Oryzias latipes: one gene and its partner. The protein of the gene in region 2 purifies or fractionates together with the protein of the main gene of each other region. This does not show direct contact. Links are inferred from orthologs where the notes say so. Each region holds a gene or a part of one and is shown on either strand. Other genes may lie near its edges.

What was found. Proteins that work in one complex are often made in the same cells at the same time.
Region 1: the proteins of wdr59 (region 2) and nprl2 purify together in Homo sapiens (affinity purification with western blotting; 5 studies listed by BioGRID and IntAct, with this or other methods). This does not show direct contact. The link is inferred for Oryzias latipes from reciprocal best matches to the Homo sapiens genes WDR59 and NPRL2.

The regions. Positions count from the first base shown.
Region 1 is NC_019863.2:8,118,687-8,123,050, reverse strand, and holds the start of nprl2 (GATOR complex protein NPRL2), read left to right. Parts: upstream 1-1,493; 5' UTR 1,494-1,831; coding exon 1,832-1,903; intron 1,904-1,981; exon of another isoform or gene 1,982-2,056; intron 2,057-2,640; coding exon 2,641-2,732; intron 2,733-2,858; coding exon 2,859-3,027; intron 3,028-3,123; coding exon 3,124-3,232; intron 3,233-4,364. Other genes in the region: hemk1 (hemK methyltransferase family member 1), read right to left, coding at 743-805. UniProt on the Homo sapiens protein: Catalytic component of the GATOR1 complex, a multiprotein complex that functions as an inhibitor of the amino acid-sensing branch of the mTORC1 pathway.
Region 2 is NC_019861.2:37,921,002-37,924,579, forward strand, and holds part of wdr59 (GATOR complex protein WDR59), read right to left. Parts: intron 3,109-3,578; coding exon 3,029-3,108; intron 2,962-3,028; coding exon 2,829-2,961; intron 2,737-2,828; coding exon 2,615-2,736; intron 2,535-2,614; coding exon 2,370-2,534; intron 2,303-2,369; coding exon 2,207-2,302; intron 2,140-2,206; coding exon 2,035-2,139; intron 1,963-2,034; coding exon 1,841-1,962; intron 1,441-1,840; coding exon 1,287-1,440; intron 8-1,286; coding exon 1-7. UniProt on the Homo sapiens protein: As a component of the GATOR2 complex, functions as an activator of the amino acid-sensing branch of the mTORC1 signaling pathway. The GATOR2 complex indirectly activates mTORC1 through the inhibition of the GATOR1 subcomplex.

The DNA.
Region 1 (4,364 bases), on a different chromosome or scaffold from region 2:
ACTTGATTCGTTAGATCCACTTTAGCTTGGGCATGAAAAAATAAAAATAAAGGTGTGACAGGATGTTGAAGATCCACTCCAATCTTTTGTTTTAATTTAAAAGCGTTCTAAGCGGCCTCATAATTATAATCATGCAATTTCTAGACCCCCCCAAAACAAAACAGAACGGTGTCATTGTCTAGGATAGTTTCTGCAGAGCAGCAGGAGTTTATTAGAAATTCAGATGTGGGTGGTACCTTTGGCACACAGAATATTGTTCAAATTTAAATAATTTTCAAAGGGTCTGATTTTCAGTGCAAATTTGATATTTCATTACAAGCACTGAGGATGGCTTAAACATATGACAAAGAAAGAATAAACAAATGGAAGAAAAAAGCACAAAAAAGAATAGAAATGTCAAATAATTAGATATTTAATTTGTATAGGTTTGAGTTGCTTTCGTGAATAATTTAGCTGTTAAAGGATCATTTAACCCCTTTGCATCTTTGATTATCATCTTCACTCTGATACACACGTTATACTCTGTTACTTACTCTGTTGCAGGACCAGTTTGCTCACAGCTATCAGCCCAAAAAGCAGGCTCCAACTGGTTTTATCCATCCATTTATTACTGCACAATAATAAACAATAAAAGCCTGCGTATCATTAATTTCATCACTAAGCGCACGTGGTCATTTCTGTTGCACCACATTATTAATTCTGGTCTTTGTGTGATCAAAGCATGTTGTGTTTCAGCAGTTACCTTTGTCCCGCCACTCCTCAACCCAATAAAAGCGTGACCTCCTCTGAGCACTCGTCTCCACATGTTCAATAACAACAACAGCGTTCACATCCCCACGTGGCAAGAATCATGCTGCACTAAAATAACACATTAACCATTTACAGTCTATATATACAGTCTATCTATAGTTGACGAAATGATTCTCTATACTAAGTGACTGTAATTTGACTATAAACTGAAGACGTTTTCCTCTGTAGTCCACATGAGAATTGAAAGGAGCTCGGAAAGTACTGTTTCCGCAGGGCTTTACGCAAACACACCAATCCTGGACTGCGCATGACTGACTCTCGCGAAGCGTGCTGCCTTCAAGTGCGTCGGTTAATATGAACTACAACAGCCAGCAGAAATAGAGAGGTGCTTATTAATAGAAAGAATGATTAAAACATTCTACTTAACAATTTCAACGAAAAATAATGTAGAGTTAATAAAAGTAAATAACATTTAACTCTAGTGTTTTAGGACGTCTCAAAAACTAAAATGCCTTGATGATATTAGTGAGTCCATAGTGAGTCCGTGAAAGTGAAAATGAACAATTTTAGAAGTTTTAGTATTTGTCATGCATCAGAGCATCAATATATTGATGTTAAATTTGCATTAAATTCCTCTGAGACTCATTGTGAAGCGTACAGGGCTTTTTGGGTAATACTTTTAAGGAAGCCGTTGTATTATCCCTCATTTTCCAATAGGTGGCGACAAATCTTCTGTCAGCCGATCACCAACGTCCAACTGCTCTACAGAAGAAGAGAAGCGACTTGTGTTGTTGACTGCTGAGGGTTTTCACATGCTGTTTAAACAGTTTAAGACGCGTCCAACAACAATATCTCTAAACGCACCGATAATACTATATTTTATTCGGTGATCAATATTAGGACTGTTGGACGCTGTAGAAATGTCGCCACTATTTTTTCCTTAGGCGCAAAAGCGTGGAGCTAGCTAGCTAGCTAGCTTCGTTTAGCTGAAGCAGGAAAGGAAGAAACGACATCGTCCGTTTCTTCTGTCGGTATCTCTGACTCTAATTTTTAGCCTCTGTGTTTGAAGTTCGTCACAGGCATGGTCAATCGGATAGAGTGTATATTCTTTAGTGAGTTTCACCCCACACTGGGTCCAAAGATAACATATCAGGTGAGTGCTAGTCTGAAGTTGTGATCATGATCCGTAAGCAGACTAGAATAGTAACTTAGTCTTTAATGTTTACCTTAGTAGAACGGCCACAACAATGCCTCTATTATGCAGTACCGCATTATGCTGTGCCCTATTTTGTCCTAACACAAGAAAGTAAGAAAACTTGTTTTTCCTTTTGTTATTTTTCGCTTCCTTTTTGCACATAATGTTTCTTTTAATAACAATCAATGTCAGTACATTTCACTTTAACTTGACGCCCCACTTGTTAAAATTGCACTTTTTTTTCCTTTTTATATGATTATTATTATATCTCTCACATGGATTCAATGTGTCATGTGTTGTATCATTAAGATTTATGATCAACAGTAATTATAATAGCATCACCTACATGTGTTCGAAGAATGTATAGAAATGGATATTTACTTTCAATATTTTATTTTCCAGTCAAATAATTACTAATCCTCTTAAGTTTGATATATCTATGTGTAAATGTATCACTCTTGTTTGCCTTGCCCTGTTTTCATTGCTTGAAATAAATCCATACCTAATTCTAAAGGTCTATTAAATGAAACCGTAAAAGTGCAGTATTTTAACAGAAGTACAGATGAATACGAGAGTAGCTCCCTTTAAAAAAATCATATTTAATTTAAATAAATAAGTTGAATCTTCTTTATATGTTATATTGAACTGAGAAATGACATAAAAATATGAGTTGATTCTATATTTTTCTTTGTCAGGTCCCAGAAGAATACATCTCAAGAGAGCTGTTTGACACGGTTCAGGTTTATATCATCACCAAGCCAGAGCTGCAAAACAAACTAATAACAGTGTATGTGTTCCAAAGTTCTCTCTCTGATAGGAACTTCTATTTAGTGATTTGACAGAGTCATGCTTTCTAAATAAAGCTGCTCTTTCTCTTTAGTAACTTTGACCCTGCTTTTGTTTATGTCTACAGCACGGCCATGGAGAAAAAGTTAATCGGTTGTCCTGTATGCATCGAACACAAAAAGTACCGTCGAAACGCCCTCCTCTTTAACCTCGGCCTCGTTTGCGATGCCAAAACTGATACTTGTGCCCTTGAGCCAATTGTCAAGAAGCTGTCTGGGTACCTCACAACCTTAGAGGTAATGTTTAGCACATTTACTTTGTCTGATCCTGTCTGTTTTTCAAATCAGTATATCTGAATGTGTTGTTGTTTTTTTTGTTCTCTTCCGTTGCAGCTGGAGAGTGGGTTTATTTCTAATGAGGAGAGCAAACAGAAGCTTCTACCAATCATGTCAACCTTGTTAGATGAACTCAATGCAACAGGAGCCTGCACTTTACCTATTGGTATTATTTAGTCTTTGTGTGTGTTGTGGATATTACATACATTTTTAAAACCACAATTTTACAGATCAAGAAAAGGATCAAAAGTTACTTAAGTGTTCAATTTTTGCATATAATGTCACCAACTTCATCCAAATTTGGCCAAGTATTCTAAGTTTAGTTTTGGTTAGGATTAAACCAAACCATTTGTTTCACCTTTAAACTAAATTGTTGGGAAAGTAAACCAGTAATATTGCATTGGAAGTGTCAAACCCTCGTGTTGTACTAAATGTAATATACTTATTATTGTTTTATTACATTACACTAAGCTTAGCATAAGCAAACTGAATTTTTTTTAAACTTTGTTACTCGCTCATTAGCACATCCAAAAAGGATCTTTCCAACTATTCTTTTGTAATTTTTTTGTGTTTGTGTTGTAAAACACAAATCATATATCGAACCAAAGCAAAACTATGGTTTGAACCAAATCATGGGGAATATGAATTGTTGCACCCCAATGTTAATGTCACTAAAATTTGAATCCATTTTTCTTACATTTTTGAACTTAGAAGTTCTAAAGGATTGTACTAGTCTGCCTTTGCGCCGCTGCCAAAAGTCAGGGTAATTACTGGGTTTTTGTCTAAATTGCAGTAGAATCTTCATCTTATAAACTCACTCCATTAAAAATTGGGCTTTTGGGGTCTTTAGCGTGTTCTTGTAGCATTGTTCTCATGTTGAAGGACATATAAACAAATGAGTAATTTTCAAAATTCAAATCATTGTGAATTAGGGGCAGATGGAAAAAAAAGTCGTTTAAAGGTTGTAGGTGTGAAGCTGCTACAGTAAGCCGTGGACAAGCTGGCATCTGGCTCAAAGGTTTACGGCTGTACAGCTTCAATATTAATGTTAGGTTGGGGGTGTGAGGGGCTGTAAGCTAGCGGGAGAGAATGAAAACAAAGGGATGATGGGAAGTCAGCACAGGCTTACTCCCTTTCCAACAGTCCCGCCCACAACTCTGAGGCAATTTTCTCATGAACTCCTGCTGCTCTGCAGAAATGATGTCCCAGTGAACAACACACGTTTTTAGATTTAGCCTAAAAACAACAAAATCCTATGTAAAAGACCACTGGGAAAACTTTTAAAACAGATCGAAAGA
Region 2 (3,578 bases):
GGAGCTTCTGATTGGAGGAGGGTGGGAAGGAGGTTTGGCCCACAGCAGCAGGTGAGCGGGTGATTGGTCAGAGAGAAAACGCCAAACAAAAGACAAAGAGACAAAACAAAGCCAATCAGGGGGGCAGCCAGAGGGAGGAAGACCGGAATGGCTGCAGGATCTTCTTCATCCTCAGACTGAGGAAGACTCAGCGGCACACCAGGACCTTCATCACAAACCAGGTCCCAGGTCCAAACATTCATTCACCAAACTCCGCCCTGTCCACCCGCGTCTTCTCTCAGGCTTCAGCTGGGTTATGGTTCAGCGTCCAGCATGGAGGTTTCCAACCCCACACCTTGTTTTCCAGCAGAGGTGGACGGACGGAGACAAACCGCTCCTGGATCTGCAGAACTTACACGCCCGCCCCTCCCTGCAGGAGGTCAGCGCAAAAACAGAAGCTTCCTGAAGGAGTGACATGCTAACCTCTGCTCAACCCCCCCCTGAAGGGCTGGTTGGTTCTGGGGGGGCAGTAAGTTCCCAAAATGCAGACAAACAGCAGAACCATCAACCCACCATGACATGCAGGGAATCAGGAAGCTGCAGGAAGCAGTTAGATGCTGTTTCACCCGCTTTAGTGGTTAAATGATCCTGGAGGGGGGGGGGCTGAAGAGCTCCTCCCACAGGAGCGTTTGGCTCCAGGAGCCAGTGTGCAGCTTCATCAACCCCGGACCCCAGCTCCGTCTGGAGGGGAACCGGCTCCTCCGGCTGTACGTCCGGGGTCGTCTTTCTCCTCTGGTGGTTAGGGACGGTTCCCTCCCCCAGGCTGAGGGGTTCAAAGGTCAAAGGTCAAAGCAGGAGGCCGACAGATGGATGCAGCATCTCCGGCGCTCCCGTCTTTGAGCAGGTATGTTCCTACCCCCCTCCCCCGTGTGCTGAAGTGTCCTTGGGCAGGCACTCCTGGTGGATCTAGGTTGGCGCCGGTCTTTGGCAGCGGGCCGCCAGCGGTGCGTTTATGGGTAAATGGACCGTAAAGCGCTGTCAAATCATCAACGCTGTTTATCATTTTTCAACTAAACGATTTTGATAAACTTCAGTTTGAGCTGGACTGTAAGGTCGACTTCCATTACAATCTAGACACCTGCTTACCCTGTTGCCATAGCAACTGGTCCCTTTGATGTGAATGCAGAAGCCCTTTCCACTGTCTGAGTGTGAACAAACCTTCATGTCATCACGGAGACGCTAAGAAAAGATCAAAAACCAGCAGCAGCGGCCGTCAGGAGGCTGCAGTCATGTGACGCGCGCCTCACCCGTTCTTTATAGTAGAAGGAGGAGATGGAGACGGTGTCTTTGTCGGAGCGGGTGGGGCTGCCGCTGTACAGCCGCAGCGTGCTCTGGGACTCGGAGCGCATCTTCATCGGGGTCAGAACTCCGCTGTGATAGGCCGACAGAGCCGACAGGGACCTGGACGCGAAAACACAATGACTGACAGCTCCTCGTCCCATCATGCACCTGAGCTCGTGGGCTAAACTAACCCTGAACTCAGGAGAAAGGTCAGACTTTAGCGCTAAAAACAGGAAAGTCAACCCCTAGAAACCAGAAGATGCTCCAAAAGAAGGAACACATGTCATGAAGGTCCATGTCCCTCACATATATGATCCCCAGACACCCGTTTAGGCACTTCCTGTACTCACACCTGTGCGAACCGTCTAAACTTTAATCCTGATGCATCAACCAAAACTACACCTTTAAGTTGGGCATCAAACCACCAACCCTGGGAGGTCTCTGCTGACAGCAGCAGGAGCCACCGGTTACTCTTGTGAGTCATCAGACACACTGGTATCTGCTGCCGTGGCGTTTGTACCTGGGGGTGGGCTCTATGGCGGGCGCCGAGCGGTGCATGCTGATTGGTCGCGTGAAGTAAACGAGACAGCCGGTTCCGCAGAAGCGAGCTCCAGACGTACGAGGGAAGGGGATGTTGGCATCCTGAAAACAAAACAACAAGAGGTCGTCAGCTAGAAGCCAGCATCGTCTTCATCGCAGACGAAGGCTCCTCACCTGGTAGGAGCCGTAGGTGTTGGTGACTCGGGGGAAAGCCTGCAGCGATGGCGTGACGGGGTTGGGCAGCACAAAGGGACCCGATGCCGGGCTGTCCTCCTGCGTCTGAGAGAAGACACGAGGAGAACTTGAAAGGTTCCGGATGGGGTCTGGATCGGTCCAAACGTCTCACCATGTCAGACTCCAGGCAGGACACCAGCTGTCGGACACACGGCTCCAGGCAGTTCAAGTTCCTCTTCACCTTCTGGAGAGACGTGTCCCTCAGGATCTGAACGGAAACGGAAAACGGTAAATCTGCAGCTCTGGAGTTCCCTCAGGAAGACGACCTGCTGCACCTTCTGGATCTTGGTCTTCATGGTGGATGAGATGGTCGTGGGGGAAACGAACTGGAAGGTGGGGGCGGCGTTGTTGGGATACTGATCCGGAAACTTGACCACCAGGTGAACCTGATGGCTGCCAAAGTGCGCCGACACCACACAGCTGCGGTTCATGGCGTCCATCTGCACGCCACAAACTCCTGTTACCATTAAGGCTCTCAGACCCCCAGCTTTTATTTTGAAGGGGCACAGAGGATCCTCACCTCCATGTTCACATTTCTGATCTGCTGGTTGACCAGAGAGAACTCCTGCTGCAGAGTCTGAGTCAGACCTGAACCCGGGGCCAAGTCCTGACGAGTCCCGGAGCTCTGCGAGCCCCCCTGGTCTGAGGACCACAGACACGAGTCAGTGCAGGTTCAGAGTCTCCATCAAGGACTTCCATGAAGGAAATGCCTCCTGGTTCCTCCTGAGCTCCACCTGTCTCACCCAGCAGACCATCTCCGGCTCCGCTGAGCTGACCCTCGGGCCCCTGAGAGGACGGAGACTTCTCCGTGTCCACGGTGAGGGACATCCCCTCCATCAGGTCCTCCACCCCGTCACTGACGCACAGCTGCAACACAAACACCACCTAGTCAGAGCCCGCTGGAGCTGCCGGAGCCGGTCTCGGGGGAGCTGACCTTCTGCAGCTGAGGGTCCACCCTCCAGATCCGCAGAGTCTGATCTCTGGACCAGGTGACCAGCTGGAAGTCCTTGGAGCCTGCAGCAGCACCGACAGAACAGAGCAGTAAACGGTCAACTCTCCATGTCATTTTGTGCTGAAAAGACTTGAAATGGTTTCCATGGAAACCACAAGGTCGCATTAGTTCAGTTGGTCACGGCCAAAGATCAGACTCCCATCAAATGAAAAAGTTTTAAACATTTTTGATTAACAATTCCTTTTGTTCTGCCTTTTAAGGCATTCATCGTTTAAAACTAACATTTAGCGTTTAGCAATAACATTTTTGGTTTAGTGTTAAAGTGTTAAAGAAATATCGTTGAATTCTCACAAATATCGTTTAGAAATTTACAAATATCATTTAGTGGTGACAAAATTTGTTTAATGTTTACAAATATCGTTAATCGTGAGCAGATGTCATGTAGCGTTAGCCGTAGTGTTTAGCGTTAGCCGTAGTGTTTAGCGTTAGCCATAGTGTTTAGCGTTAGCAGATAGTGTTTAGCGTTAGCAGA